Mus musculus: one gene and its partners. The protein of the gene in region 3 purifies or fractionates together with the protein of the main gene of each other region. This does not show direct contact. Links are inferred from orthologs where the notes say so. Each region holds a gene or a part of one and is shown on either strand. Other genes may lie near its edges. The genes, in order: Mlf2, Bag3, Dnajb6 and Bag2.

Region 1 (7,808 bases), on a different chromosome or scaffold from region 3:
ATTCCCACTATTCCCTCTCAGGCACTTACATGAGAAGCTGAGAGCCTGGGGCCTTCACCAGTCATAACGACGGGACTGTCGGGAGGGGGAGTCCTCAGGTCCCTGGATCGCCAGGCGGGGAGGCCCCTCAGCCCTTCGCCCCCCACCCACAGATGCCTCATGCCGTCGAAATTCCAGAGGACGCTGCTGTCTGTATCGGGATGTCTCCCTTCTCCATTCATCATCAAATGCTGCTGCCTCACCTAAAGAGGACAGAGAGCAGCCATGGAAGCCACAGTATTCTGAGATCAGAAACCAGGGCAAAGGTTGAGATCATGCATGGGAGAATGGGGGTTGGGAGCCATCTTAGCTTCAACACAGTTCCTGGATGCCACTGGCAAGCCTGAGGCACAACTACTGGGGTTACACACCATGGGGAGGCACAATTACTGGAGTTATACATCACGAAAGCTAATAAAGCACTCATTTGAGAAAGACAAAGTAAAGGGTGGAAAAGAAAAGCCACCAATCCCGATAGAGGAAACTACAACCATCAGCACCTGACGTCAGTCAAGCTCTGCCCCCTCCCTGGCAACACCTGACTCAGCCCTGAAGCTGGCAACAGAGCCTAAGCACAGGGCTCACCCACAGCTCTGCCTGAGATACCTGTGGGATGGTAGAGAAAGCTATGCTCCAGTCTACAGCAACTAGCTCAGGGACTGCTGCCCAGAAGAAGACAGGCTCACTCACTTTCATCCAGGTTGATGTAGTCCTGCCGCTCTTCCTGGTCCCCTGTGCGGTGGTTTCGGGAGCGCTGGAGGATGTGAGCCCTATCCCGAATGTGATGCCCAATGGACATCTGCTCTAGACCACTGTCTGAGTCCCGGACAGTCCTCCGTGTCTCCCGGATCTGGGACGAGGTGAATAGGCTCATTCACTTCTCCCCACAAAGCCCTGGCTACATCTCCCCGGGACGAACCAGCCACCCACGACCCAGTCCTGAAAACAGATGACCCTGGTTCCTGTGGATGCCGATCCATCCTACCTCCTCTGAGATAGAGGGGTTCCTTACTCACCCCGCCTGGGGCAGAGCGCATCTCCGACGTCTCCTGGTAAACCTTGGGCGCGCCGTCCCCAGTGTTGGAGTAGGAGATAACAGTGGAGGAGGAGAAGGTCTGGCAGTTGCCCCCTGCAGCCATGTGCTCCTGAGGAGGGACTGAATGAGGGCCTACTCTGCAGAAGGGAGCTCCCTTCAGCTGCTGGCTCTTGCTACATCTTCCTCAAAATACGTGAGGATGGGAAACTCGCATCACAACCGCCCCGATTCCTCAGGCCCAACACTAGCATACGTAATCACTCATGGGTCTAAGAACAAACACAGGACCCCTGGTGCTCTGACTCAACTTAGTCACTAGCTCACCCCACACCCCCAACCATGTTGGCTGCTACGGAGATCAAGGCAGGGGAAGACTATGGGGCAAGTCATACCATGTTCCCGATCATGTCGTTCATCATCCCAAACATGTCCATGAAACCGCCGGACTGGGGAAAGATGAGAGTCCAGAAGACTAGTCAGCGGTTTGGGGCCAGCCACTCACCTGAGGACAGACCCCTTTTCCTTCTTACATCTAGCCTGACCACTCAAGTTCCTCCCCATGAACTGCTGGCTACCTTCTCCGGCTCTGTGACCGCCCTAATGCTTCTCCTGCCTGCCGTCCCAATCTTTTTTTTTTTTTTTTAAATTTGGTTTTTTTTGAGACAGGGTTTCTCTGTGTAGCCCTGGCTGTCCAGGAACTCACTCTGTAGACCAGGCTGGCCTCGGAACTCAGAAATCCGCCTGCCTCTGCCTCCAGAGTGCTGGGATTAAAGGCGTTCGCCACCACACCCAGCTCATCCCGATCTTTAAGGAAGTGACCCAAAGGCAATGAATTAAAACCTCTGATCACGCTAAATGTTGATTGACAGGGCTTGCCTTTAACCCAGCACTGAGAGGCAGAGGTAAACAGAGCTGAGTTTGAGGGCAGCCTGGTTTACAGAGTGAGTTCCAGGACAGCCAGGACTGTTATAGAGAAACTTGGTCTCAAAAAAAAAAAAAAAAAAAAAAACAAAAAAAAAAAAAAACAAAAAAAAACCAAAAAACCCCTCTGAATATTTAGAGCTGTAAAAGAACCCCAAACTTTCCCTCCTCAAAAGAACCGCTGTACATTTTTACTTTCCCCAGTGATTAAGAACTTCTGAGTGTCAGTAGCATTTGAGTGTTCTAGTTATTATCTTTCTGTGTATGAGTGTTTTGTCTGCATGTACGTCTGCTCTCTACATTCATGCAATGACGGTGGAGAACAGAAGATGGCATCAGATGCCCTAAGACTACAAATACAGACAGTTGTGAGCTGCCATGTGGGTGCTGGGAATCAAACCCTGGTTGTCTGGAAGAACAGCCAGGTGCTCTTAACTCGGGAGCCATTTCTGCAGCCCTAGCTCCTTAACTTATAGTCAATGGGCTCTGAACCATGTCAACTATCCAAAGAGAAGATTTTTAAGACCACCAGAGTGGTGCATTTGGAAATAACATTTAAGGGGTGTGTGTGTGTGTGTGTGTGTGTGTGTGTGTGTGTGTGTGCGCGCGCGCACGTGAGTGTATGCACTTGTGCAAGAGATACAGGAAGAGAAGACAGGGACTCACCATTCCCAACATCCCGAAGGGAGAGACAGCCCCAGCCTACAAGACGAGAAACTGAAGTTAGAACTACACCCTACCAACTGTATGTACCAAAGGAGGTCAGTGCCTCCGTTCCCCCCTTCCTTCTTTCCACAGGAGTCACACAGCCCCTTTCCCAGACTCCTGACCCCACTCGTCTGCCTCCCACGCAGGTCATGTCCCTTTAAAGCTGGTTGTAGGGCAAGAACTGCAGCATACTTAACTAATCACCCCAGGTCTCGATATGTTCCAACTGTTACCTGCATCCTGCGGCTGGCAGGCCTGGTTGCTGGCATGTTACCATCTGTGATGCTCAGGAAGGGGCTATATCCAAAGCCGCCTGACAACATGCGGCTCATGTGCTGACGGTGAATTGCGAAGGGGTCCCTGCGGAGTGAGCATACACTATAGAAGGCAGATTAACCCCCAGCCTTCTTCACCTCCCCGAAATGAAGTCAGGGTACACAGTGGCACGGATGCCGGCTTCCCTCTGAGAGCGGCAGCTGAGTATCCAGCTAATTCTAACTGGTTCCAGCCAAGGGAACCAACTCAAAGGTCTGCCTGAACTGCTCAGACCTGAATCCGAATGGGCTGAGGGCGCGAGGGGGAGGGAATTCTCACATCAGGAACATGGGATCCTCAGGCTCCACGTCCCTCATGAAGCGGAACATCGTGATCTCAGCTCCAGGGGGCTCCACACTGTGAAGATACGGAGGCTGTGTTTCCTGCAGGCGGCCAGGCTTATGCACACCAGCTCAGTGTTGCTACTCTTAAGGCTGCCTCTTGCATACACTATCACTGACCCCTCCAAACTCCAGGGAAGATCCTTCGCCAGGTGAGCCATATAACCTATGAGACCTGAGAGCCAGCAGCTCTCCAAGCCGGTCATGGAATTTTTCCCAAGCCTCTTAGTGGTGCCCCTCCACCCCCGCCCGCCATCCTCTCTTCCCCGAGCCACGGTCAGCTCCTCCTCCGACGCCAGACTCGATGAGAATCTCGAACGGCGGCCCGCCACCCCATTAATGACCCCCAACTACTCCGCCTTCTGCTGGCACTGGGCGCTACCAGGCCTCCCCGGGCAGGCCTCACTGCCCACCGATCCGGGCCGCCACTGCCCCAGCCCGTGCCTCCCGCCGGGCGAGCCGGAGAGGAAGGTCCACTCCCGGGATCGCATCCCTGCAGCCGTGCGGGCCGCGGCGCCCTGGCCTCACCGGTCCCCGACTCCGGCTCAGCGGCCCATCCGGCCGGCCTCTCCTCGGGGCGCTGCAGGAGCAGGGTCGCGGCCCGGGACGCAAGGATTGGTCCGCGCGGCAGCTTCTCGCCTCCCGCACCGCCTCCTGCCTTCGCCTGCCACCTCCGTACCCCCGCCCTCGGCCCGAGAAGCCGATCTTCGGTCAGGCCCGAACGGAAGTGACGTCACGACGGACGGCCCCGGGGGCGGGCTGCGGGAGCTCCGCCCACCTGCTTGGGAGGGAGGGCGGCGCGCGCGCCGTGGAGCCCCGGAGGGCGGGTCCTCTGGGGCGGGTGGGAGGTGTCATTAAGCTGGCTCGGGGATCTGGGGACAGGAAGAGGCTCCTGCAAAGGTGGGGGGGGGCGGAGCGGAATCGGGAGGGACCGGCTGAGCGCAACGTGGGGGCAGGGTGTGCCGCACCTTTTTTGCGGGGGGGGGGGGGGAGAGGCGGGCTGTCTGGGGGCGATCGGTGGGGCGGATCCCTGCGGGGACCTTTAAACACACTGCAGGAGGGGCGCTTAACCAGGGGAGCGCGTGGGCCTGTCCCTCTGGAGAGACGCTCGGGCGGGCGGTGTCCTCCGAGTGACGCAGAGAAGGAGGTGACAATTTAGCTCAGGTCTAGTTAAGCCTTGGAAAAGGCCAACCAGGGAAGGGAATCCAGGTTGGGAGTTTGGCCGCCAGAGGGCGATCCTGGGCCGGGCTGGATCCTTAGCTCCTTAGGACTCGGTGTTGGCTTAGGCTTCTGGACCACTCCAGGACCTGTCTGTGAAGGGTTGGCCTGGGCAAAGGCGTTAGTTCTGAAGTCTGTTTGCTTTTTGTTGTCGTTTTTTGGTTTTGGTTTTAGTGCTCAGGACCCAACTCAGGACCTTGGGCATACCAAGCACATGCCCTACCACTAAGCTATAGTCCAGTTCCTTTAGGTCGTAGGTCTTTAAAACTTTCTTTGTTCTGAGCAGGTAGATAGGTCAAGGGACTAAAGTTTAGAAGAATAAAGGGGTGGAGAGCTAAATTAAGCAGAATCACCCAGGGGTGGAGCTAAAAAGTAAGCCCAAGAGGGCTGACTCCAAAGCCAGAGACTGGTATTTTGACATACTAATTGTCTTGCACAAAATCTGGCTGAGCTGGAGAGAAGAGCCCTCCCCTTTGGGTCAGAGGATTTGAACTGTATTGGGTAGACTTTGACCCACAGAGATCCAAACTCAAAACTGTCCCAAGTTCTTTACTCTGGCTGTCAGCCACATTGGTACCGTGTGGAACCTGATCTGAAGAGAAAGGTTTATTCTAACCAACTCCCTGAGGGAAAAGGGTCAGTGGTTACTCAGGAAAAGATTGGGAGCAGAGACTCTCAGCTTCTTTCGATTTGATCATTGCTAGTGGGAAAAAAATAGTGCTAAGAGAAGAAACAGTGATATAGTTAACGTAAGCTGACAGATTGGCAAAGTGAAGCCAAAAAAAAAAAAAAAAAGGAGAAAATGTGTTTTTCATTGATATTTGATATATAAGACCTTCTTTAAATGCCTCTTGGTATCCCACCCGACAATTGTCCTTTCTTCTTGCTCTAAAGAAAAGCACTTTGACATTCCATCCAGAGTACCTCAGAGCTGCAGAGCCAGCTCAGTGGCTAAACATGCCTGCTGGTTGGTGGGGCACTGGGAGGGAGGCAGAAAAAGGATGATCTCTGTGAGTTAGAAGCTGACTTGGGCTACATAGCTTATCTAGAAGAAAAACAAAAGCATAAAATTAAAAACAAACAAACAAAAAACCCAAAAGCATAAAATTTAAAAAATAAATAAATAAAGCTTGCTGCTATTCCAGAGCAACCCAGGATGGCTGCAGAGTTGCAGCTCCAGCAGCTCTAACATGCACTGCAGAAATCAAGGGTGTGTACACACCTGGCATACTGGCACACATCTACACGGAAAATAAATCTGAAAAAGGAGCTTGCTACCTTGCAGAGGACCTTGTTCCAGGACCCACTTTGTGACTCTCAATCATCAATCGGTAAAACCCCAGTTCCAGGCTATCCAATGCCCTCTTTGGGCCTCTAGAGGGATTGTGTACACATTGTACACACCTATAGGCAAAAATACATAGAAAATAAAAATAAATCTGGTTATATAAAAGGGTTACTTTGGCCAGTGGTGACCTTTAATCCCAGCATTCAGGAGGCAGAGGCAGGTGGATCTCGGTGTTTGAGGTCAGCCTGGTATGGGAGGGGAGCAAGGGGGAGGAGAAGAGCAATCAAGCTCCGGAGAGCTGGGACAGCCAAGGCTACATCCTTCTCTAGTCTATAATATAGTCCACCTTCCCCCTAGGCCATTGTAAATACTTGTGTATGGGTGTAACTCAGCTATCTATAGTTCTAAGTATCTACTCTGGTTCCTCCTTGGATCACAAACTTACTTCTTCCTAGATAATGGTAAATTCCTGTGTAAGGCAGTGACTTAGCTATCCATGCCCAAGGTCGGATCAATAACTGCCTAGAATCTAACTTAGCTATATGTCAAAATATCAATCCTTAGGAGCACTTGTAATAAAGGAATATTAAGGGAAAGCACACAGATCTGTTCACCAACTAAAGCAAGGACATTGGAGCATTCGTTATACAGGATGCCAAGGTTCCAGGAGACTAAGTTTCCATGAACTTTTCGCCTCGGGACAGCACCCAGGTTTTTGGGGCCTGTCGCGCTTGTCACTACTGGAGTGGATGTAGCAGGCTGGGGAGATGGCTCAGCAGTTAAGAGCACTGACTGCTCTTCCAGAGGTCCTGAGTTCTAATCCCAGCAACCACATGGTGGCTCACAACCATCTGTAATGGGATCTAATGCACTCTTCTGGTGTGTCTGAAGACAGTTACAGTGTATTTGTATAAACAGAAACAAATAATATTTAAAAAAGAAAAGAAAACTCGTCTTGAAAAAACAAACAAAACAAAAGAATGTTACTTCAATGAGCATTCTGCCACCTACACTTAAAGATATCCTACACAAATGTTCTTTTTTCTTGTCTCTTTTGAAAGCAAGTCTCCCACACTCTCACTATGTAGCTCTGGGACTAAAGGTATATGCTCCCTACCTGGCCATCAAAGCAAGTTCTACATTGCTTGGCCACTCAACAGCTGTTTAATGAGCACGTGCTCTGTGCTGGGTCTAGTGTATTAAACAGACAGACAAGGCTAAGACAGCCCCTGCCACCTTGAGGTGTGGTCTTTTAGTCTCCTTGCCTGTGTGTTGCGTTTGTTTTGACATAGGTTTTTGCTATATAGCCCAGGCTGGACCACTTGAACTAATGGTAACTCTGCCTTAGCTTCCTGGCTACAAGGATTCTAGTTGGGTGCCGCCGTGGCAAGCTATATCTCCAGGTTTCTTTTTCTGTCTGTTATTTGCTGTCCTGTCTCCTTTCTTTAAGTCCTTTCTCTTCCTTCTCTCAGACTGTAAGGATGTTGCCATGTTGTTAGATATAAATCTGTAATCCCAGAGATACATAGCAAGTCTCTATGTGAGATGATGTCAGAAAAGATAGCAAACAGAAAACCTTAAGAATCTCATACCATTCCATTTTATCTTTGCATGCCTCTGTGTGTGTGTGTGTGTGTGTGTATGTGTGTGTGTGTGTGTGTGTGTGTATGTGTGTGTATTGTGTGTGTGTGTGTATGTGTGTGTGTATGTGTGTGTGTATGTGTGTGTGTGTATTGTGTGTGTGTGTGTGTGTGTGTGTATGTGTGTGTGTGTGTAACCAGGACCTTGCATATGGTAGATAAGCACTCTACCATTGAGCTAAGGCCACAGCCCTATTTTTTATTTGGGACAGTCCTATTGTGTAACCCAGGCTGACCTGAAACTTCCTGTGTTGAAGTTAAGTCCTGATTGTCTGTCTTCACTGCCCAATTGGTGGGATTCT
Region 2 (7,702 bases), on a different chromosome or scaffold from region 3:
ACCTGAAGTATGAGTCAGGCCAGCTGGGACCTGCCACTGATTGGCTGACTTAGGATCTTTCATTGTAGCTGCCTACTGTGCGTGCGTTGTCTTGGCTTTGAGGAAAATCGTGTACACCAAGCTATGCTTCTCAATTACAGTTTTTAACTTTTTTTTTTTTAATTTTTTATTTTGGTGACTAGTAGATCTGTACCACTGACTCATGTACCGTATGTACTGAATGCCAGATTAATAGTGTGGGCCGGAGTCAATCAATGAAATCCAGATCCCACCTCCAACCAGGCAAAGCTCCACGCACACATCTCTCAAGTCAAGCTGCCACACCCATGAAAAGGAAACTGTGTGCTGAGTAGCCCAGGACCTCCTGGGAGCACTACTCCAATTCTTGTCCCTCTGTAATCTCGGCAGACCTTGAGCTTTTGATCCTCCTGCCTCAGCCTTCTACATATCTGGGATGGAAGGTCTCCCTTGCTAGGTCTGGTCTGATTTGGGCTCCTAAGAGCAACACAGAGACAGGCCGAGCTGTGGTGTGGTTCCAAAGAAAACAGCAGGCAAATGCAGAGGGTGAGGAGTTGGGATGGCCCATTAGTCCTGCCCTGGGGTTGGATCCAGGGGTTGAGGAGAATGACCATCAGGGGACTGGTTCATTGGTGTGATGGTTTGTATATGGCTTGGACCAGGGAATGGCTCTATTAGGAGGTGTGGCCTTGTTGGAGTAGGTGTGTCACTGTGGGTAGGGCTTAAGAGCCTCATAGCTGCCTGGAAGTCAGTCTTCAACCTTCCGATGAAGATGTAGAACTCTCAGCTACTCTTGCACCATGCCTACCTGGATGCTGCCATGCTCCTGCCTTGATGATAATGGACTGAACCTCTGAACCTGTAAGCCAGCCCCCATTGAATGTTGTCCTTAGGAGAGTTGCCTTGGTCATGGTGTCAGTAAAACTCTAACTAAGACAGTTGAATATGGGGTGTCTCAGAAGAAAGGTTGGCCTTGAACAAGGTGGTTTCTGTCACTTAGGCTAATCCCAGAAAACAAGGTTGGTCTACATGAAGGTGAGCATGTTAGTAAACATTTTAAAGCCTATTTCTTCATCCACACAGATTTTAGTAAAAATTCCTGTCTTGTTGGGTGTAGTGGTGCACACCTTTAATCCCGTCACTCAGGAGACGGGGGCAGTCAGATCTCATCAGGTTTGAGAGCATAGTCTATGTATCACATTCCAGGACAGCCGGAGCTACATAGAAAGACTCTTATCTCAAAACAGCAACAACAACGAAATGTCTGTGTTCCTTTGGCACTGCCGACAGAGAAACGGGACACGTCCTCACCGCTTCTCACAGTATTCCCGGCAGTGGGTAGAACCAACTTTTCATGCCTAAACGGAAATGTAAGCGGCACATCATGGCTTCCACCACAAAGATCAAATGTGAGAGCCCACGTAAAGTCATTAACGTAGCACCTGACAGCGATTACCCAATAAGCACTAGCCATTATGAGTGTTGTTTTTAATAATTATTATTTACCACACACTGTGCTGGAGGATGGGGACACGGTGGTGATCAAGATCCTGCTCCTGCTCTTAAAAACTCAGCCCATTAAGTAAATCAAACAAACAAGCATTTACAGTGTAAAGCAATTGGTAGGGTGGGACAGGATGTGGATGGTCAGAGGACTAATGGGGGGGCAGCAGGATGTGTGTATGTGTGTGTGTGTGTGTGTGTGTGTGTGTGTGAAGGAGTGTATGCTAAAGGGAATGCTGGGAAAAGCCAAGCTGCCCAGGAGATGATGGTTGGAGTGGATAGAAGGGTTTCCATCCTGGTGGTGGAAGCAGTGTGTGCAAGATACAGTTCAGCAGGGTCAGCTGAAGTATGGACCAGGGAAAATGAGGAATACACCTTTGTGCACCAGACCAAGGAGAGTGGACTTGGTGGGTGCTTGAAAAGGCCTCTCTGGCTGCTATATGGGCAAGAGGTTTAGAGGCAAGCCCAAAGGCTGAAGAACCCATTAGGGTGCTGTGAAGGATCCAGGTGAAAGCGTAAGATGGCTGGGACGGAAGAAAGAGAAGAGTCACAGAGTCAAGAAATACTTAGCAAGATAGGAATGGATGGTAGGAACGAAGGGGCAATTTGAGGACAAAGTGGGGGTGCGGGAGAGATGACTTAAGAGCATTTGCTACTCTTATAGAGGACCAGGTTCAGTTCCCACAAGGAAGCTATAAACATCTATAACTACAGTTTCAGGGCATGCAATACCCTCTTTGGACCTCGGAAGGCATTGCACAAGCCGGCTCATACATATAAAATAAATCTTTATTTATTTTTTTTAAATATTTTTTAAATAGGGCATTGCTAGGCGTAGTAGATGGTAGTGTGCACCTTTAATCTCAATACTTGGGAGGCAGAACTATATAGATAGACCATATCTTTAAAAAAATATCCACAGCCAAGCAGTGGTGACACATGCCCTTGATCCCAGCACTTGGGAGGCAGAGAGATGGATCTCTGTGAGTTCAAGGTCAGCCTGGTCTACATAATTAGCTAGTTCTAGGACAGCCAAAACTACACAAAGATACCTTGTATTGAAAAACAAGCGAAAAAATTCACTTTGTATTCAGTCTTCAATAAACATCAATCTTTATTCCTTTATTGAAGATGGACTCTGGATTTAGCCACGTGCTGGGTGGGTTCAGGTATAAAGAAGCAAAAGACAGACACTGACCAGTGAGTGAATCTAAGTGTCTAGACCTTTCAATGTGACTATCAAATGATAATAAGTCAATATTCCCACATTTGGGCTTATACAGGTGTGTTTGGTGGCACCAGGCAGTACCTGAAGGCTAACTATGTTAATACTTATACTGAGGCTTTGAGACTTCAAAGTCAGTAAGAAGGTCTTTGGAAGTAAAAAAAATCAGCTTGTTGGAAATGTCTGGCAGAGTCCTCTAGTATTTGCCACAGAGTAAAAATCGGAGGGGAAGAGGCCAGAGATGTATCTTTGAAGGTCCCAGGACATTCTCTGAATCTGAGTCAGGAAATTGGCCTCAGTATTGGTTCCAGGTGTTTCTGAAGTCTAGTCACTGTGCGAAAGTGCCTATATAGAAGGCCAAGAGCACAAAGTTGTCACTTTAGTCCTTGCTTCTTCAGTTTTCCAAAGCAGGCAGGTGAGTTTCCACAGCTCTTTCTTTTTGTTGTGACCTCAGATCAGCATTCCAGAATTTCTCAGAAGTCATAAGGCCCTTGAGAAAAAGTTACTAAAAACGTCACTGCAGGACGCCAGCGTCACTGAGTGTGAAGAGAGAGAAAGAACTAGACTTTCCGAGTTTAAAGATGATTTAGTCCTTACACAAAGGTGGGGCCCCAGGTGTCGGCCCTTGGACTGCTAACCCCGGGACACCCCCACGCGGCACGAAAGAGTGGTGGGGAGTCCGGAGACAGAAACCAGCCAGAGAGCACAAGGACACCGGTGCGTGTCAACCTGGCGCGAGGCGCACAGGCCCCAGGACACACACAGGACAGGGATAGGGAGGGACAGCCTGGGTAGTCTAGGAGAAGGAGGGGCGGGTGACAAATCCCCGCCTCCGATCCCTCCCAAGGTCCCGCCCCGCCGCGATTATAGCCTATGACTCAGGGCGGAGCTCCGCATCCAACCCACGGCGGCCGCCAAGTTCTCTGGATGGGACCAGAAGTTTCTAGCCGGCCAGTTGCTGCCTTCTCTTTATCTCCTCCTTCCCCTTTGGCAGCTAGGAGGCTATTTCCAGACACTTCCACCCCTCTTCGGCCACGTCACCCAGTCCTTTAATTCATAAAGGTGCCCGGCGCCGGCTTCCCGGACACATCGGCTACACAGAGGTGCCCGCACTCCACGACCTCGTGACCCGCGCCCTAGCTCTGCGCCCCGGGCGGACCCTAACCCAGCATGAGCGCCGCCACCCAATCGCCCATGATGCAGATGGCGTCCGGCAACGGAGCCAGCGACCGAGACCCCCTGCCCCCGGGCTGGGAGATCAAAATCGACCCGCAGACCGGCTGGCCCTTCTTCGTGGACCACAACAGCCGCACCACGACGTGGAACGACCCGCGTGTGCCCCCCGAGGGCCCTAAGGTGAGTGGAGCTTGCCGTCCCACCTCGACGGCGAAGGGGCCTGGTCGAGCCAGGGCTATGCGAGTCACCCCACCCCGCGCCCTGCTGCGCAAGGAGAGTCCTTAACCATATCCGCCTCGAACGGGCGTCGGGCCGCAGAGAGCCGCAGGCAGGGTGGCCTTGGACGGTAGCCAGCGGGGTGCGACCCGCGTGGTGACATCGGGTGGTTTTCCACAGCCTCTTGCGAAGGGCGAAGGGCAGTGGTGGCCTGAGCTGCGGTGCGCCGCGTCCCAGGGAAGGGCGACCGGCCTGATGAGCGGCTGAGGCCCAGGCCAGGCCCGGCCGCCGCCTCTCTGTCCCGCGCGTCCCGTGCTGAGACCCTGGGCTCCCTCCGGTGCTGATGGCGCACGGCCAGGATTGAAAGGCTGCTGAGTGGAGTCTCCTGTGGGGATTTCACTTTCAAATTCAGAACTTAGTTGAGGCTTATCTTGAGTTTACTGGATCTTAGGCATAGAGTGACTCAGGAGGCTCGAGTAAATAAGTTATTTTCCCCCATTAAACTTATTATTACTGGTCGAAACTGCTTTCAGTTAGAGAAAATTCTGATACTACCACTATTTTTTTTTAAGATACTCTTTCTGACAGTTCCAAAACTAAAGATCAGACATTGTATCACCATACTTAGCCACTGCCTTAAGACTCACACTGGAGTGAAAGAATGTATTTTTAATGGCGTGATTCCTTGTTGTCCTTTTCAAATACTGGAGTTTTGTTACCAGAAACAGCTGAGGAGTCTGGTGAACACTAGGTGTATGCTTCATTTGCATAGATATTCAGGTTTGTGTACTTCAATCTAAAAAGCAAGAAAAATTGAAAATACAAATTTGGAATGAAGCCCAGCCTGGTTCAGGCCTGTCATCCCAGCACCCAGGAAGCTGTGGCGAGAGGATCTTGAGTTCAAGTCTAGCCAGGGCTATATAATCGGAGTCTATCTCAAAAGTTATTAAGTAATTAAGTTGGAATGAAACTAGCCTGTGTTGCAAAATAAGACCTTGTCTTTTTTTATAAAAAAAAAGAAAAAAAAGATTGAGCTGGGCAGTTGTGGCACACCTCTTTAATCCCAGCACTTGAGAGGCAGAAGCAGGCAGATTTCTGAGTTCAAGGCCAGTCTGGTCTACAGAGTTCCAGGACAGCCAGGGCTACACAGAGAAACCCGATCTCGAAAAACCAATAAAATAAAATAAAAATAAATAAAAATTCGATTGAATTTTGAGTGAAGAACTTAAAAATACAAATTTAGGTAGGATTTTTCTTGTTTGTTTTGTTTTTCTTTTTTTAAAATTAGATATTTTTTTATTTACATTTCAAATTTTATTCCTTTCCTCATTTCCCCTCCGAAAACCCCCCTATCTCATTCCCCCCCTCCCTGCTCATTACCCCACTCACTCCCGCTTCCCTGTCCTGGCATTCCCCTACGCTGGAGCACAGAGCCTTCATAAGACCAAGGGCCTCTCATTGATTTCCCACAAGGCCATCCTCTGCTACATATTGGGCTGGAGCCTTGAGTCCCTCCATGTGTACTCTTTGGTTGGTGGTTTAGTCCCTGGGAGCTCTGGGGGTAGTGGTTGGTTCATATTGTTGTTCCTCCTATGGGGCTGCAAACCCCTTCAGCTCCTTGGGTTGCTTTGCTTTTCAAGACAGGGTTTCTCTGTGTAGTGTTGGCTGACCTGGAACTCACAGAGATCCTCCTGCCTCTGCTTTCTGAGGCATGAGCCACCACCATCCGGCCACGTAGGATCTTTGAAAATATAGTTAACAGAAGTCATATTTAGCATAATGTTCAGTAATAATTTATGTACATTTGGTCCTTTCAAAATGAAAAGTTTGGTAAAGTAAATGCACTTTAAAATAGGACTCTATCATCAATGGGAGGAGAGGCCCTTGGTCCCGTGAAGGTTCTATGCCTCAGTATAGGGGAAGGCCAGGGCCAGGAAGCAGGAGTGGATGGGTTGGTGAGCAGGGGGAGGGGGGAGGGGATGGGAGTTTTCAGAGGGGAAACTAGGAAAGGGGATAACATTTGAAATGTAAATAAAGAAAATATCTAATTAAAAAAGGAAAAAAGAAAAAAAAAAATAGGACTCTACTTTGGGCCTGACCTGGTGGTACACAGCTTTAATCCCAGCTCTCAGAGGCAGAGGCAGGTGGATCTCTGAGTTCAAGGCCAGCTTAGTCAATAGAGAAATGTTGCCTCAAACAAACAAAACAAAACAAGAAGAAATACTCTTAACTTATTACTTTCTGGAAAAAAATAAAAGCAGTAAAGAGTTTATAAATTGTTTGGTATTTTCAAAAACTCACCCAATTAAAAATGCTTTATAAATCATTAACTTAGAAAATTCTAGTTTTCTTTTTATGTGTATGGTGCAAGGGATTGAACCCAGGGCCTTGAGAACTTCAGGCAAACATTTTCCTTATAACTATTGCTACAACTTTAGTATCCAGCAGTGAGCCACATACTTGGCAGTTTACATTTACAAGAAACTAATTGTATATTTATTTCTGGAAATTATTACTACAAGAGGCTGTAATTTGGGGTGGACATAATTGCATGTATCTTTGTGTGTGTGTGTGTGTCTATTTCATACATTATTGGGTAAAAGATTCTCTTTTGAAACTAGCCGTCTTCAGACTGCATAGGGAATAGAAGCCATATAATGTGTGGTATGTTTTGAGGCCTCCTTCCTCTGGCTACAGGCACAGTCTCCGCCCTCTGACACCCGTCACTGGGAGTGAAGATCAAGTTTGAGCCTATACATGCTGGTACTTAGCCAGCACGCTGGGATTTGCTCCAGCCACTAGGTAGCTACTAGGTAGACTAAGTTTCCTAAATCTGCTCGAGATTAAAAAAACCAAAAGGAATTTAACACTGCTCTTATCAAGCAGAAAGTGCGAAATATTAAATCAAGATGTCTTGGGCTTGGAAAAAAATATTTCACCATTATAGTTTTAAACTTGAAAGATCCTTAACAGTGTCCCCTTCCTTCTGTGTGAGGAAATGTAGAAAATTTAAGTGTCTTCCTGAAGGTCACCCATCCAGCACCAATAGCGGGTGTGTGTGTGTGTGTGTGTGTGTGTGTGTGTGTGTGTGTGTGTCAAGTGGACCGACCAGTTAGAAGAGACTGTGCCTGTTCAGAAGTCAGCAGTGGCTTAATTTTTAGGAAGCCGACCCGGACCCGTGCTGACCTGTGCTGTGCTAGCCTGAATTTTGATGGTAGGCTGAGACTAACTCAGGAGAAGGGTGTCCTTCTCCAGATTCATTACTTAAGATAGACTTGCCAGCTTGGTACCAAAGCACAAATAGAAAATGAGCATTTCTGGGGAAGAATCAAATCCCTCAAGCTGTTGCTTGCTTTGAGTCTGGGCTTCACTGCTTGTTTTGTTTTGTTTTGTTTTGTTTTGTTTTGTTTTGTTTTGTTTTGTTTTGTTTTTCAAGACAGGGTTTCTCTGTATAGCCCGGGCTGGCCTGGAACTCACTCTGTAGACCAGGCTGGCCTCGAACTCAGAAATCCGCCTGCCTCTGCCTCCCAAGTGCTGGGATTAAAGGCGTGCGCCACCACACCA
Region 3 (7,067 bases):
ATTACCTGGAGTTGGAGTGAGAACTGGGAAGCAAACTGTAAAGCATGAGTTTTTAACCACAGGCCTTTAGTCTTACCTCTGTAGAGTGACCAAGTGATTTAGACACTGTTAAATGAAAGCACATTATTTAGAGAACAGTAAGACCACATATCAGGTAGTTAGAAGCCGAATGGTTTCCTTGTGCTGCTCTGTGGAGACAGGTGAAGCCGTGCTCTGTCCCTGGATTTCAGCTAAAGAATTACTCTAGTCTGCATGATAGTATTAGATAGAGCAGTGTTGTGTTGGTTTGGTAGTTGGGTGCTGGACAGAGAGGTTATTTATATAAGACTGGTCAACTATATTTTTCCCTTTCTTGTGAGTAACTTAATGCAACAGCCGATGCCATTCCCATGAGAGAGCCATGGTGCTGAGGCCGACATGCTTCTCAGGCAGAGCTAGTGTGTGTTCATCTTTGTAATCTTGCCTAATACCTGGTGCAGAAATTCATCAGGGAGGGAAGTAACCAAATCTCCCCAAATGCATTGTGGTCTAGGAAAGCAGATGTAGCCAGTCCTTTGGTCAGGTGGCACCTGATCTCTGCCTCAGAGACCAGTGACCTGTTTATATACTATTATGTCATTTCCAAGCATTTTTTTCCTTGATAGATTTGGGGATGCCTCTCCCCCCATTTCTCTGTAGGCCTGGCTGTCCTGAACTTGCCCTGTAGACCAGGTTGGCATAGAAATCAGATCTGCCTGCGTTTTGCATCTCTAGTACTTCGAGTAAAGGTGTGCCCCACCACATGGACGGGAAATGATTCTTGAACCCAGTTTCTGGACAAAAGTCCTGCCTAAGATACAGGCTAGTGACTGGCTACCAGAAGTTCTCTCTGGGCCAGTAGGTGCTGAGAAGGAACCGACTCTCATCCTTCCTCTTGTTTTTCACTCATTGGGCAGTGTTATCATGGGCTGTATTTTTTTATTTGCAGGATTTATTCCAACAGTCAGTTAAAACATGGTGGATTACTATGAAGTGCTGGGCGTGCAGAGACATGCCTCACCTGAGGACATTAAAAAGGCGTAAGTGATTCTATTTCTGAGTTGATAATTCTGTACTGTGGTTCATTGGTAATTGGATAATGTAAAAATTAGGTTTATTTTATGTGTGAATGATTTGCTTGCCTGCATGTATATGTGTGCTCAGTGTTCAAGGAAGAGAGGAGAGTATATGATCTCCTAGAAATGACTTTATAGGTAGTTGCAAATCACCATGTGGGTGCCGGGAATCAAACTTAGGATCTCAGTAAGAGCAACAGGTTCTCTCAAACCCTGAACAAGGCACCCACCCTGTACTGGGATCTAATCTAAGAGACTCATACATGATAGGCAGACACCAGTTTACTGCCCAACACAGACCTAAAGTGGCTTTCAACCCTATGGTTTAGTTCTAGGTTAAAGTGCTAACATTTGTGATCAGACCTGGGGATCATTGGGCATTCTATCTAGTTGGTGATCTTTAGGTTCCTATGAAGAAAGACCCACTCAGTCTTAAAAAATGAGGTAGATGATTCTTCTCTCTTTTTTTTTTTTGTTTGTTTTTTTTTTGTTTGTTTGTTTGTTTGTTTTTCGAGACAGGGTTTCTCTGTATAGCCCTGGCTGTCTTGGAACTCACTTTGTAGACCAGGCTGGCCTAGAACTCAGAAATCCGCCTGCCTCTGCCTCCCGAGTGCTGGGATTAAAGGCGTGCGCCACCACGCCCGGCTGAGGTAGATGATTCTTAGGGTTGACCTGGCTTAGCTTTCACACGCATACATAAACATATTTGTGCACACACACACAAACACATACATCCCCCAAACTTGACAACTTATACTATGTCCCAAAATAGAAATATTAATATTGCCCTTGTGTGCTAGAGGTCCTGGGTTCTCTCTGCAGTTCCTTGTACTATCTATATTTACTTTGTGATAATTTATATTCTGCCTCTCCATGGTGTTTCTGAATTCCAACATAGGCCTGTTGTCTCCACTAAACTATATCTGTAGCTCTTCACCATTATTACTATTTTTCACCATTATTTTTTAAATTGTTGGTATACACTGGGTACTGGTGGCACATTCCTGTAATCATTGTACTAGGAGGCAGAGGCATGCAGATCTTGGTGACTTTGAGACCAGCCTGCCTGGTCTACAAAGTGAATCCAAGACAACCAGGATTCTGTTACACAGAGGGTTGGTGTGTAGCCAGGGGCATACATAACCAGTTGAGTCTTAGTGTTCTAGTTTATTTCTGTTGCTGTGATGAAATACCCAAAAGAAACAGTAGTTAAGGGGTTTATCATGATAGAGGTCAGGTCATATATTCATCACTGTGGAGAAGTCATGGCAGAAGCTTTATACAGCTAGTTACATTATATCTACTATAGTTAAGATTAATGAATGTGTAGATGGCTGTGTTCTTGCTTGTGCTCAGCTTGATTTCTTTGCAGTTTAGTGGTGCTGTCTACGGAATGGTGCTGTACTTAATTTTCCCACATCAGCCTCCTTGAGACCATTCTCCAAGTGATTCTAGGTTGTGTCAAGTTAACGATTACAGTTAACATCACTTCTGGGTTTTCATATGCTCCTTATAAGGTTTAATCAGGACACTGGATACTTGTTTTAATTCCAGTATTGGACATAACTTCCTCTAATGTTATGCTTTAGATTAAAGTTGTGTACATACTAGGTGCCCTATCACTGGCCATACTCTAGCCACAGAAGTTGATATTTCAATTTTGTTTAGACATTAAATCTACAATAGGTAGCTATTTAAATGTTACTAGGAGTCTGGCTTGTGCTATGGGAGATGTTCTTTATATTGATAAGTGGAATATTGGGATGGCTGGGAAAAATAGAAACATGAGGGAATTTATTTAAGTTGTATCTGTTTGGCTCAGAGGGCAAGGATTTGTCGACATTCTGTACATGCTTCACCTGATCACCAGAGCCTATAATTTGGACATTTGGATCATCCCACATACATGTTTTCAAACCAATCTTGCCAATTTCTGCTAGTATCCGAAATTAGAACTTGCTTATTTCATTCTCAAGAAAAGGTGGATTGCTAAGATATTCTTATACCTAATGGTGTAGCCATTTTCTGCTTAAGGGTAGGTGGTTTTTGGTGTTTTTTTTTGTTTTTTTTGTTTTTTTTGTTTTTTTTGTTTTTTTTGTTTTTCGTTTTCTTTTTTTTGTTTTTTTCTTTTTTTTTTTTTTTTTTTGGTTTTTTGAGACAGGGTTTCTCTGTGTAGCCCTGGCTGTCCTGGAACTCACTCTGTAGACCAGGCTGGCCTCGAATTCAGAGATCCACCTGCCTCTGCCTCCCGAGTGCTGGAATTAAAGGCATGGGCCACCACACCCGGCTTCGTTTTCTTTCTTTTTTTTTTTTAATTTTTTGAGACAGGGTTTTTACTGTGTAGCCATCTCAACTCTCAGACCCATTGCTAGAATTAAAGATGTGCTACTCCCTCAGCTAGCTGTTAGGTATTAAAATTCCATGGACTTCATATGTACTCATTATACACCCTTTTTATCTTTCAAGGTATCGAAAACAGGCACTTAAATGGCACCCGGACAAAAATCCTGAAAATAAAGAAGAAGCAGAGCGGAAGTTCAAACAAGTAGCTGAGGCATATGAAGTGTTATCGGATGGTAAGTAAACCTGAGCTCGTGAAGGGCTCTGAGAGTGCATTAGAACAGGGCTTCCTAGAGAGCACAGACACAAAATTTGTTTGCTCCTAGCTAGAGTGTTCCTTCTTCCCTAAAGTTTTAATTTTCTTGTGTACTTTGTATCTGGTACATCTAACCATGGGTGCTGAAGAGCTAGAGTTATAGGCCATGAGCTGTAGACATGTTCTACTGCAGCAGAGTATTGTTAATGGAGTTTTACCTACTTGCACAAGGAAGAGATGCTCCAATTTAGATTTTGACTGACAGACAGGCAGACACACACACACACACACACACACATATCTACCCACCCCACTCTGGGTCTAGATCATAGACATTAGATGCCTCTGTGAAGGTTTTTTGCAGTTTGATGAAGGGTTGGCTGTCAGCTAGGGGCAGCCATCAAATTTGAGTTTGTGGTAAAGGGAAGATTTTGCACCTACAAGGCTGGGAACAGTGCCAGAGACTGGAATAGTACTGCCCACACCCTAAGCACTATCCTGCTGGGTGGCCTGGCATGAGTCAAGCTAGAGGCATTTAAAAGGTTAGGTACTGATTGACTGATGATAGGAAATAATAGGTCACTGTCTTTAAAAAATCTATTTCTAGAAGGAACCTGATCTAAAACTCAATGAGACAGCTTATTGGCATATAGCTCCTTGCATTATGAATACTCTATAAGTCTACCTTCTCCCAGTTTTAAAAACAACCCTTGAAACTTGACAAATATCAATTTCTTTTTTCAATTAATGAAGACATCGCTAGCTGAAAAACTGCAAATGTGCCAAGGTCTTAATACAGTTTGAGCTTTTGAGCTCTAGTGGCTGGAGCCTGGGCTTCAGAGCTTATGTTCTTACAAGGCGGCTTCTTAGTCAAGATGGGGTTGTTCTTCACTTTTGTTTCCCCTGTTGTAGAATATAACATAAGATTTTGGGGGAAGACAGAGTGATGTGGCAGCCGTGCTGTGTCTGTCCTAGAAGCACAAAGGCAGCAAGCAGGGTTCACGCATACCAGCGTAGCACCTGTGAGCCAAGTGAGTGGTCAACTCAGCAAGCAGATCCTGAGTCTGAGCCTGTGTAAATGTAGTACAGGCCTGGCTCCTTTTATGGTATATGCTTATCCACTTCCCATTCTACCAGGGCTTAACATCCACCCCCTGAACTTTGTTGTAAATATTTGTAGCAGTTATAATTAAGTTTGCCAGTTCAGGAGACCTTCCTCCTCTTAAAGTTGAGGGCCTTCGAAATGGATGTAGATTTATAATGGGAAATACTGAATTTTGAGGGTTTGAAAACAAGAACTTACTCATACTGTTTTTCTCACATTTAAAGCTAAAAAGCGGGACATCTACGACAAATATGGCAAAGAAGGATTAAATGGTGGTGGAGGAGGAGGTATGTCAATTTTCTTTTTGGAGACAAAAGGTCTTGGACAAGTTTACATAAATTTTTTCAGTTCTTAAAGTTGTTTGTTTTCGAGACCGGGTTTCTCTGTGTTTTCCAGGGTTTCTTCACTGTCCTGGAACTCACTTTGTAGACCAGGCTGGCCTCAAACTCAGAAATCCACCTCTCTCTGCCTCCCGAGTGCTGGGAACAAAGTGCTGCGCCACCACTGCTTCCGCGTAGTTCTTATGATTTGTACCTGATAGTCAACAGGGATTTGCCTTGAAAGTGTTGAGTTTGTGTAAATGAGGAGAAATAAACATTTAAACATTTAATAAAAATAAACCTGCTTGTTGATCAGGCATGGTGGTACATGCTGAAAATCCTAGCACCTTAGGGGCTAAGGTAGTGTAGTGCCTGTGAGTTGAAAGCCTGCCTGGTGGGTTTTAGATCACTCTATATGATTGTGATTCTTCTGCAGTAAGTCTGCCTCCTTAAAGGATTAAAAATAATTAAAATATATAAAAACTGAACCAAAAGAGAATTTGACAGGAACTTTGAGTTTAAGGCCAGCCTGCTTTGCATAGTGAGGACCTGCTTCAATAAAAGGGAGGGGGGAGAACCAACTACACATTTGTCAGGTTAGGAGAAGTAAGTGGAGATGTCTGCTCTGATAAGATAACCTTACTATGCTTTTAGCAGTGACATTGCCTATTGTGTGGAAATGGTGCTCAGGAGATGAGCTGCCTCATCTTAAAAGGCTTGCTGGGATCTAATATTGTACCTATGGGGAAATTGGTGGAGTCAATATTCTTGGCTTTCATAAGCCTTTATAATTCATGACAAAAACAGTGGACAGTGATTTGATTATGTTAAAGCATCATTGCAGACAGAGACTGAAAAATTCATAGGCCTTAGAGATCTGAGCACTCATGTGGTCAAATGCTAGGCAAATAAGACTCTTGGGCTTTTAGAATCCCAGATGTGTGGAATATGTTCTCTCTCAGACCATGAAATATACAGTAATTTATGAATAAACAGTTGCTTTGAAATATCAGAATTCATAAGCTAAACACTTTATTGTGCTTGTATAGGTGGAATTCATTTTGACAGTCCATTTGAGTTTGGCTTCACATTCCGGAACCCAGATGATGTCTTCAGGGAATTTTTTGGTGGAAGGGACCCATTTTCATTTGACTTCTTTGGTAAGTACCTGCCTGGTCCGTCCTTTGGTCTGGCCTAGTGAGGGCTGATGGTACCATGTTAAATGTTTGCATTTAACATTTTGTTGTGTTACTGAACTCTTGTCTTTTTGGACTAGTGGAGTCGTCAGGCATTTCCTGCCAACCTTTTCAGAGTTTTTTGATTGGTGACTTCAGCAATAAAGATTTTAGGGCATTATTTCCCTCTTCCATGTGTATTATTCTATCCTAGTTAATTTGTTTTTGCTCTCTGGTGAATTCATGGTTGGGACAGGATAAGATGTTGGAAATCTGATCTTAAACATTTATTTCTTGCTTTTGATACTCAGGATTTGAAACCAGGATCTTGGATATACTGACATCTTTAGTATTCACCTACTTCCACTCTACAAGCTAGTTTATTAGTGAGTTTGCGAAACGCACTAAATATCATAGATGCTGGTCCAGAACACACACATGAGTTCCATAAACACACCTTTTCTAACTGTTATTGTAGTCCACTTTAGCGTGTGAAGAAAGGATGCATCTAGAACAAGGCAGATGGCATTCTGATAGCAGCTGTTGGAATTTGGGAAAGTAGATTCTCCTATCTCTTGCCTTTATTCTGATGCCTGACCCTGGACTCTTAGGGATCTTGTGCATAGGTGCAAACGTTTCCATGTCCTTGTCAGCTGTCACTTAGTTACTAGAGATCTTCCTTATGGCTGACCATTGGTGAGCACTGGACATGGGAGGTCAGCATTGAATGTGTTATTGCTGCCTTTCTTTTGTCCTGGTGCACTGAGAGGGAAACAT
Region 4 (7,766 bases), on a different chromosome or scaffold from region 3:
AATCTTAATACACTCAAGCGATGACTCTTCTCTTGTTGGCAAGGGGCAGTTCTGTGTGGACTGGAATCCAGGGAGCAGCTACGTGTGTTACCTGTTCAAAATGTGAAAGGACACACCCTCACAAAGCAGCTGACTGGGCAGAGCTTCTAGAAAGTTCCACATCACCTTAAGCAGGCTTTGGCAAAGGTATTGTAGAAAGAATTTTCACAAGCATAAAGCTGGAGCACCCTCATCTGGTCCCCAGCCCTCAGGTGTCTCCTGAGCCTGCCGTGGCGGTGGAAGTATAAAATGTCAGGTGCAGGCAGCCGTCCCTAAACAGCAGCGCACAAAACTGCAAGCCAACCACCAGCTGTGTGAGGAGTTACTGCTGATTTTGCGGAAATTTCCTCCTCCACACCCCACCAGACACCAAATATAAGGAGACCTCGGCTGGAGCCGAACAAAGCAAAGCAGGATTGAAGTTTAACAAGGTGACTGACCGAACTGGCTGAGAAATTCAGCACGAGTCAACCGATACTTATGACGTCAGCACACGCCGGTTTCACAGTGGCCAATCTGCACGTACTGTCATGAACACGGGCTCATTTGCCAATGACAAAATTGCGTGCTTTCATAAACAGGGAGGTGGCCGCCACTCATCTCTGTGGATTTATGCGAAGGGGGCTTTTTCTAAAACACATTCTTAAACTCATAGACCAGGCTCCATGTGAGACCCTCAGCATCCCGATACTGTCAGGAATTGGTTTTCCCAGTCATCAAAATGCTTGTATTTCATTCACTGTCAGCGTGAATGAACCACTAACCAGTAAGGCAAGGCACCTAGTCCCTCAGTTTCTTCCACCCCTATCCCCGGACAGGGTCTCATGTGTCCCAGGCTGACCCAGAACTCCTTATGTAGCCCAGGATGACCAAATCCTCACAACTCTAGGATTTGGGCTACAGGCATGAACCACTATGCTGGTTTTCTGAAGCCAGAGATCAAACCTATGTTTGTGAATGTGCTAAACAAACATCGTTCCAATTAAGACCCATCGCAGCCCAGCGCTCTCATTGCTAAAAGATAATGCCTTCCTTTCCCAGGGGCTTTATAAGGTTGAAATTACAGTGGTTGAAATTACAGTGTACACGAAAAGTGTTCCTTCTAAATTACAGACTGTTACTCCAAATTAAGTATGGTGTCAACTTGCTTCGTGGGTCCTGGAACACTGGCGCATCCGAACAGGAACCTTAAACAGTAAGAAACCAAAGCAGGCGGGTGGCCCGTTTCCCTGGCTCCCGCTGGCAGTCACCCTTTCCTGGCTGAGTGAACTGGAAAGGAGCTGCTCACTGCGGGCGGGATCGGTTTTGGGAGATGTGTAAAGAGCCAGCCTTCCAGCCCTGTCAATCATTTATCCCTCCTTGGCCAATGTCCAAACCCCAGGCCCGGAGCAGCTACTCGATAACTGGCACGTTCTAGGTCTTCAAGGTTTACTGAATCAAATGCTAAATCGATTTTCCCCTCCTTTAGTAAAATCATATTCATTCATATATCAGCTGGACAGTTTGAAAAGTGATATTCAAGACCAGGACAAATGGTGTTGGTCTGAGCAGCCGGTCTCCCCGTGTTCCTAGGCGAAGTCCACTGCTCTGGACTGAGACACACTGTATATATCTGAGCTTCAAGTTCTCATCTGTACAATACAGATAACGGTAACTCCCACAGAGACACGCGGCCTAGCCTACAGACTAATGCTAACGTGGATTATTTACAACCACTGAAAAGTACAGTATTTAGCCTCAGCATGTGCAGAGTCCCCATAGAACTGGTCATGAAAATCAGGAAAGGACAGGATTATCTTTTTAGAGAAAGCACCACAGGAAAGGAGATGTAGTAAAAAAAAAATTTTTTTTAATGTAAGGATATTTTAATGTAAAAATGTTTTTAATTGTAATATTATAAGCCATTAAAAACCAATGGCACCCTTTACCAGCTTGTAAAACTGGGCTAAACATTTAAAAGCATTTTCAATGCCCGGAAGATCAGTGCATCCTGCAGGACAGAAAGCCTTGGGTGTGGTTTCAGTCTTACAAGGGAGCAGGCTTTTGCTGTTCACAGAACCCATTCACCTGAATGGAAGATGCGCACTGGCGACAATCCAGTGATTTCCGGTAGTACCCCGTCCACTGTTGTCCTCAGACGTGTACACTAAGAAAGCTAGGGGGAAGTCACAGGAGCATCGTCCCCATTTTTAAAAAGTCTAATTTTGAATACTGTCATGCTCTGTGGCACTGTCCAGATGGCTTCTAAAAAGGGCCCCTAAGCCTTACCAGGCAGCATCTCTTTCTATTTCTTTGCCCCTTCTGACACACTTACTTCTAAGTGCTCATTACATTTTTAAGGGAGAAACAAGACTTACAGAACTCTGCAGTTACTGGTAAAGGCCTTGAACCATTAAACACAGAAATAAAACCCCTTCAGCGCAACTGTTAATAAGTAACGTAATTTAATCGCTTATGTTTGGTAGTCAGGATTCCTTTGATAGTAATCAGACACTAGAATGTCTATGCAAACTCCAGACTTTCAAGAGGCCCCCAGGAGAAGAGCAAGGACTCGGCACACAGGCTTGATTAAGTAAAGGTTCAGAACAATGACTCAGCTTGAAGAGTCACAACTTCCTGAACCCTTTCAAGAAAAAAAATCGGAGCAGTTGGGAATATACTGTCAAAGGTTAGAGCCTACCTCGCACAAGGAAACATTCTCGCCCCCTTTCACAGCGCAGGTCCCTTTGTCTCCCGGAGTTGGGGGATATAGGGTTCAGGTTTCTTTTGTGGCTACTCCACAGTCAGTGAAAGTTTTCTCACCTTCTGGCTCTTTTCTCCTAATAGTAACAGTAATGAGCGCCTCCCGTGTAACGAACACTGCTTGCATTTTTTTTTTCCTGTGCAGACACACTTCCCTGTGTTTGGTGGCTGCGTGGAGGGAGATTCATCTCCCTCTTATAATTTTGGGTCATAGTGTTCTGCTTACGCAGAACCCGGAGAAAACTAGGGAACAACGTGTGTGTCAGGGCATCTTGATAAGATTTTCATGGAACACCTGCACATGATCAAAACTTGCACAACTTTGAAGACATTAACATTTCCACCAGATACATAAGGCTCACGTGGTTAAAGCCAACCAAGTGTTCACAGCATTCGTTAGTAGTATTCATGAGTTAGAAATTTTACGACAAGGCTGTCCCCGTGTCAGAATCTTAGGGAGAGTGTGACTCCTGCCTTTGGTGTTTTCGGGCCTGCGATTGGCACTTCCAAGGTGTCAGCCGTGTCTTCTAAATGTACAACAAACACGGACAGACTGCAGAGGGCATTGCACGTGGTTGAGAGAATGAAGGATGGTATCCAACTTCGGTGTACCTCGCGCGGTCTCTCATGAGTCCGATTCTCGATGATCCCCAGGAGGGGCCGTCCTGGATACTACCACCCCCCCCTCCCTTACACTTGTATTACTATGAAGTGATCTGGGGCAAAGAAACTTACTCCAGTGTGGGGTGAGGGGGGGGGGGGCACACCAACCTGCTGCCTCCCTCCTGGAAGCAGAAAAGTTAAAGGCAGAGGGGGACCGCGCAGAAGATTCTGGAAGTTCTGCAAGCCGCACTCGCTCGCCAGTCTGCCGGGCCGGGGGAGGGGAGCCCAACCGGAGCGCGCCCCCGCCCGCGCTCGCCCCTGTGCGCGCCCCGCGGCCCTCACCTGAGCTCCAGCTGGTCCAGACTCTCCAGCAGGCGGCTGGAGCGGTCGGCCATGGAAGACGAGCGGCAGAAGCGGCCCTCGTGGGCCTTGGCGCTGATCTTCGCCTGGGCCATGAGCTCCGGGGGTCCTCGGCGTCCGCGGGCAGCAGTGGCGCGAGCCGCACGTCGCCGTCACCACGGGCGCCGCTGACGCGGACGGCACCGCCCCCACCTCCCCGGCTCTCCACCCCCGAGGCCGTGCGGCCAAACAAGGGCAGGCGCGGTCGCAGCCGCGGGCACGCCAGGGTGGGGGACCCTGCCCCGGCGCCCAGGGCCTCGGCCGGTCCTCCCAGCACCCACGGTTCACAGCAAGGACGAAGTGGGTGCAGCCCGTGAGAAGAGGAGACAATCCAGTGCACCCTAGGGCAGTCTCTACTTGTTCGACCTGTCCGGTGACCAGGCAGGCTCGGGAGAGGACAGGGAAAGCCTAGACCACAGGCTCCAAATAAGGAGAAGCCAAGTGGATCCGTGTTGTCTCCCCTTTCCAATGAAAGGATTATTACTATCACACATAACTTGTTTAAACCCTCTGCGAATGATATTCAGTAGGCTTAGATGTCAGAAGCTGCAGAGGTCAGTAGGTCTGAAATACGAAGCCGCATCTTAAAGTTGTGTTTTGTCCTCTCAGTGTACAGGGTACAGAAAATGGGAAACAAAGTACATTTACATCCTTTACCCAGAACTCAAAGCCATTAGATTACTGAACAGAGACAAGCCCCTTAAGTACAGTTTCTAATCCTGTCCCCACCACACCCCGAACACATCTTAATACTAATAAACGGTGGATTATCTTGGCTTCATTAAACACTGTCATCTCACGATACAACCGTGAAATCTGAACATTTTGTGGACATCTTGAAAGTCTGAACTTGGGCAGGTCTCAGGTCTAATGCTCCTCTGGAGGCTGACAAGTTGTGTAACGTGGGCCAGGGTGGATTCAAGGCTAGGCTGGGTAGCTTCAGCAAGTGTCAAAGGAAAAATAAAAGTGGCCGCAGACATAGCTCTGTTAGGTTGGCAACGAGGCCAGGCAGATGTGGTGGTTTGAATGAGATGCCATCTGTGCTCTCTAGCACTTGAACACTGGGGAGGCCTGGGTGTGGCCTTGCTGAAGGAAGTGTATCACTCCCCGTGGGCAGGTTTCAGAAGACCAAGCTATTCCCAGTGTCTCTCTGCCTCTGCTTGGGTTTGAGATCTGAGTGCTCAGGACATGTCTCTGCAGCCATCATAGACTCAGACCCTCTGTATCTAAGTCCAATTAAATGCTTTCTTTTACAAGTTGTCTTGGTGGAGGTGTTTTATCACAGCAGTAGGAAAGTAACTAAAATGGCAGGGATCTTCATATGTTTGTTTAAATGTCTCCACACGTTGAACACGCACAGAGGCATCTCCAGTCTAAGTTACTACGGATATGCTCCTGTCTAATGACACGCCTATGCTCTTTTCCTTATATAAATTATGACTTTAAACTGAGCATGCTTTGGAATAGGCATGTTCCTTCATGAATATGTACAGGATTCCTGAAAGAAAAAAAAAAAAAATCCCTCAGTGCTACCTGAGCTTGTGGAGAGCTTTGCTTTGGTAATGGCTCTGGAACTCTTCCTGCCTGGTGCAGGTTGCAAATCTTTGTCTTTTGCATCCTGGCGGTGCCTAGTTTGGCTTCACAATCAGCAAAACAGGTAATCTTTAGTCACCTAGCCTAGAATCACCCTGGGCTCTTTCACTCTTGTATCCTAGATACAATCCATGAATAGGTACCAGTTCTACCTTCAGAATCCTCCTTGATCCCACCGACTCGTCCTTACCTGGATGACTGCAGAGCCCCGTGTGCTCTCTCACATGTGTCTTAAAGAGCCTCTCCCATCAACACAGCATTCAAGCACAGTAGGCTGTACCATAAGCTCTCCCAAACCTCCAGTGGCTCATCAGGGTAAACAAGGCAGCATCTCTCAAAGTCAGGGGCCATCTTGTAAGCTTTTCACATGGCTCTTTCGACTCTTTGCTTAAGCTCATTTACCAGTGAAAATTTCCCTGGATGTTAAACATGTCTTCTGAGTTGAGCCCAGTGGTGGCTATCTGTAATTCCAGCAAGCTGGAGGCTAACCTAGGCTGCACAGCAAGATGCTGCCCCAGATTTGATGATCCCCAGAGCTGCAGTAAGCTCAGTCCCAACCCTGTACATTACCCTCCCTTCTTCAGTCGGCACGTCACCCAACAGATATGGAATGTTTTTGGTTTTTCTGGTTTTGTTTGTTTTCTGAGACAGGGTTTCTCTGTGTAGCCCTGGCTGTCCTGGAACTCACTCTATAGACCAGACTGGCCTGGAACTCAGAAATCTGCCTGCCTCTGCCTCCCGAGTGCTGGGATTAAAGGCGTGTGCCACCACTGCCCGGCCAATAGTTTTATCTGCTTACTTATTGTCTAATACTGTCCATATAGCCCACTCTCCATGTCAGAGCAGTAGAGCAATAGAGCAGGAGCGCTCAAGATCACGGTCACATCTCAGGTACTTCAAGCAATTGCTCTCACATGGTAGATTCACAATAACTTGCGAAAAGATGAATTAATAATGGAATGAAAATATCAATATTACAAATATACTTGTGATAGTAATGTACAACTTTGCTATTAATGACTCCTGTTTAAATTACAAAGCAGTTTTCTAACATTTTACGTGACTTAGTGAGAGAAAAGCAGTTAGTGATGATGACATGGCCTCTTCTTAGTAGTCTCTCAAATACCCTTGCCAAACCACGGTGTTCAGCTCAAAATGATGTGCGTGCTGTGCAGCCGCTGAGCCACATTCTTAACCCTGAAGCTCCCTCAGAGACGGTCGCTACACACTGTGCTTAGATGAGCTCCACGTCTTTCAGGGAAGCCCATTTTGCTATTTAGCAAACTCCTGCAAGTGTCTTTAAGGTCTGAGGAGCACCTTTAATGGCCTTGCTTGACACCTTAACATAAAATGTCAAAGCAGCTAGGGATGCACAGTGACAACAACTTAAAAACAAAAACAGGGGCCTGGAGAGATGGCTCGGCGGTTAGGAGCACTGACTGTTCTTCCAGAGGTCCTGAGTTCAATTCCCAGCAACTGACATGGTGGCTCACAACCATCTGTAATGGGATCCAATGCCCTCTTCTGGTGTGTGTGAAGACAGCGACAGTGTACCCATATACATGAAATAAAGTAAGAAAACAAAAACAGAAGAAAAATAAACTACAGTCTGGTTGATTTTGCAATATGAATAACAAACTCTCAAGTTATAACATCTACTAAAAAATCTACGTAGGGCTACTCAGAAAGCACAAGAGGATGGCGATGTCACAGACCATCCAAGGAGCTCGCTTGCTCCTCCAGGAGAGCCTGAAGAAGGAACGTGAAAGACCAGACGTTCCATTTCAGACTAAATTATCCAGTGCTGCAGAGGAAAGAGAAAATTCAAGCCACATCTTTCTGTTTTAGCAAAAACAATAAGCTTGATATTTAGAAATTTGGTACGTTGTCCTCCTGCCTCAGACTGAGTACTGGAATCACAGGCATGCCCAGCTAGAGAAATGTATTTAATATTGCCAAATTATGTCTCAAGTATCTTATATGACATTTCTGCCCAAATATCATGAAACACACACTTCAAGGCAATGAGGCGCTGCTTCTTCCGCTGGTAAGGTTCTTACTCCCAATGAGGCGCCGACCCTTAAGAACTACATATGCCATCCCAGATCAACTCAGTGAAGAACTAGACAGCCCACATGAAGCTGAAGTTGTAAGGAGTTAAGAACTATTCCTGAATAGACTAGACTTTAACACTATTTCTTTAGAAGTATATTTATATAAAAAAATTTATATTAAAATAAGTTTAAGTCCATGCATATACTTTGATATTTCAAATCATACCAAAGTCTGAAAGGGATAGAAAAAATTTCCTCTTAGTTGCTTTAAAGATGTTTTTATTGTGGTAAGGTGCAACTGTAATCAGAGCAAGCATACAGCTGCATAATAGCACA

Evidence for each region.
Region 1: the proteins of Dnajb6 (region 3) and Mlf2 purify together in Homo sapiens (affinity purification with mass spectrometry; 3 studies listed by BioGRID and IntAct, with this or other methods). This does not show direct contact. The link is inferred for Mus musculus from reciprocal best matches to the Homo sapiens genes DNAJB6 and MLF2.
Region 2: the proteins of Dnajb6 (region 3) and Bag3 purify together in Homo sapiens (co-immunoprecipitation; 3 studies listed by BioGRID and IntAct, with this or other methods). This does not show direct contact. The link is inferred for Mus musculus from reciprocal best matches to the Homo sapiens genes DNAJB6 and BAG3.
Region 4: the proteins of Dnajb6 (region 3) and Bag2 purify together in Homo sapiens (affinity purification with mass spectrometry; 4 studies listed by BioGRID and IntAct, with this or other methods). This does not show direct contact. The link is inferred for Mus musculus from reciprocal best matches to the Homo sapiens genes DNAJB6 and BAG2.

Annotation. Positions count from the first base shown.
Region 1 is NC_000072.6:124,927,667-124,935,474, reverse strand, and holds the start of Mlf2 (myeloid leukemia factor 2), read right to left. Parts: upstream 4,088-7,808; 5' UTR 3,889-4,087; intron 3,377-3,888; 5' UTR 3,349-3,376; coding exon 3,299-3,348; intron 3,065-3,298; coding exon 2,938-3,064; intron 2,699-2,937; coding exon 2,663-2,698; intron 1,522-2,662; coding exon 1,468-1,521; intron 1,185-1,467; coding exon 1,056-1,184; intron 890-1,055; coding exon 730-889; intron 243-729; coding exon 55-242; 3' UTR 30-54; intron 1-29.
Region 2 is NC_000073.6:128,519,943-128,527,644, forward strand, and holds the start of Bag3 (BAG family molecular chaperone regulator 3), read left to right. Parts: upstream 1-3,640; 5' UTR 3,641-3,916; coding exon 3,917-4,102; intron 4,103-7,702. UniProt on the Homo sapiens protein: Co-chaperone and adapter protein that connects different classes of molecular chaperones including heat shock proteins 70 (HSP70s), e.g. HSPA1A/HSP70 or HSPA8/HSC70, and small heat shock proteins (sHSPs), e.g. HSPB8.
Region 3 is NC_000071.6:29,747,378-29,754,444, forward strand, and holds part of Dnajb6 (dnaJ homolog subfamily B member 6), read left to right. Parts: intron 1-967; 5' UTR 968-993; coding exon 994-1,058; intron 1,059-3,560; coding exon 3,561-3,670; intron 3,671-5,019; coding exon 5,020-5,082; intron 5,083-6,164; coding exon 6,165-6,275; exon of another isoform or gene 6,276-7,067. UniProt on the Homo sapiens protein: Has a stimulatory effect on the ATPase activity of HSP70 in a dose-dependent and time-dependent manner and hence acts as a co-chaperone of HSP70. Plays an indispensable role in the organization of KRT8/KRT18 filaments.
Region 4 is NC_000067.6:33,753,853-33,761,618, forward strand, and holds the start of Bag2 (BAG family molecular chaperone regulator 2), read right to left. Parts: upstream 3,899-7,766; 5' UTR 3,840-3,898; coding exon 3,727-3,839; intron 3,715-3,726; exon of another isoform or gene 3,553-3,714; intron 1-3,552. UniProt on the Homo sapiens protein: Co-chaperone for HSP70 and HSC70 chaperone proteins. Acts as a nucleotide-exchange factor (NEF) promoting the release of ADP from the HSP70 and HSC70 proteins thereby triggering client/substrate protein release.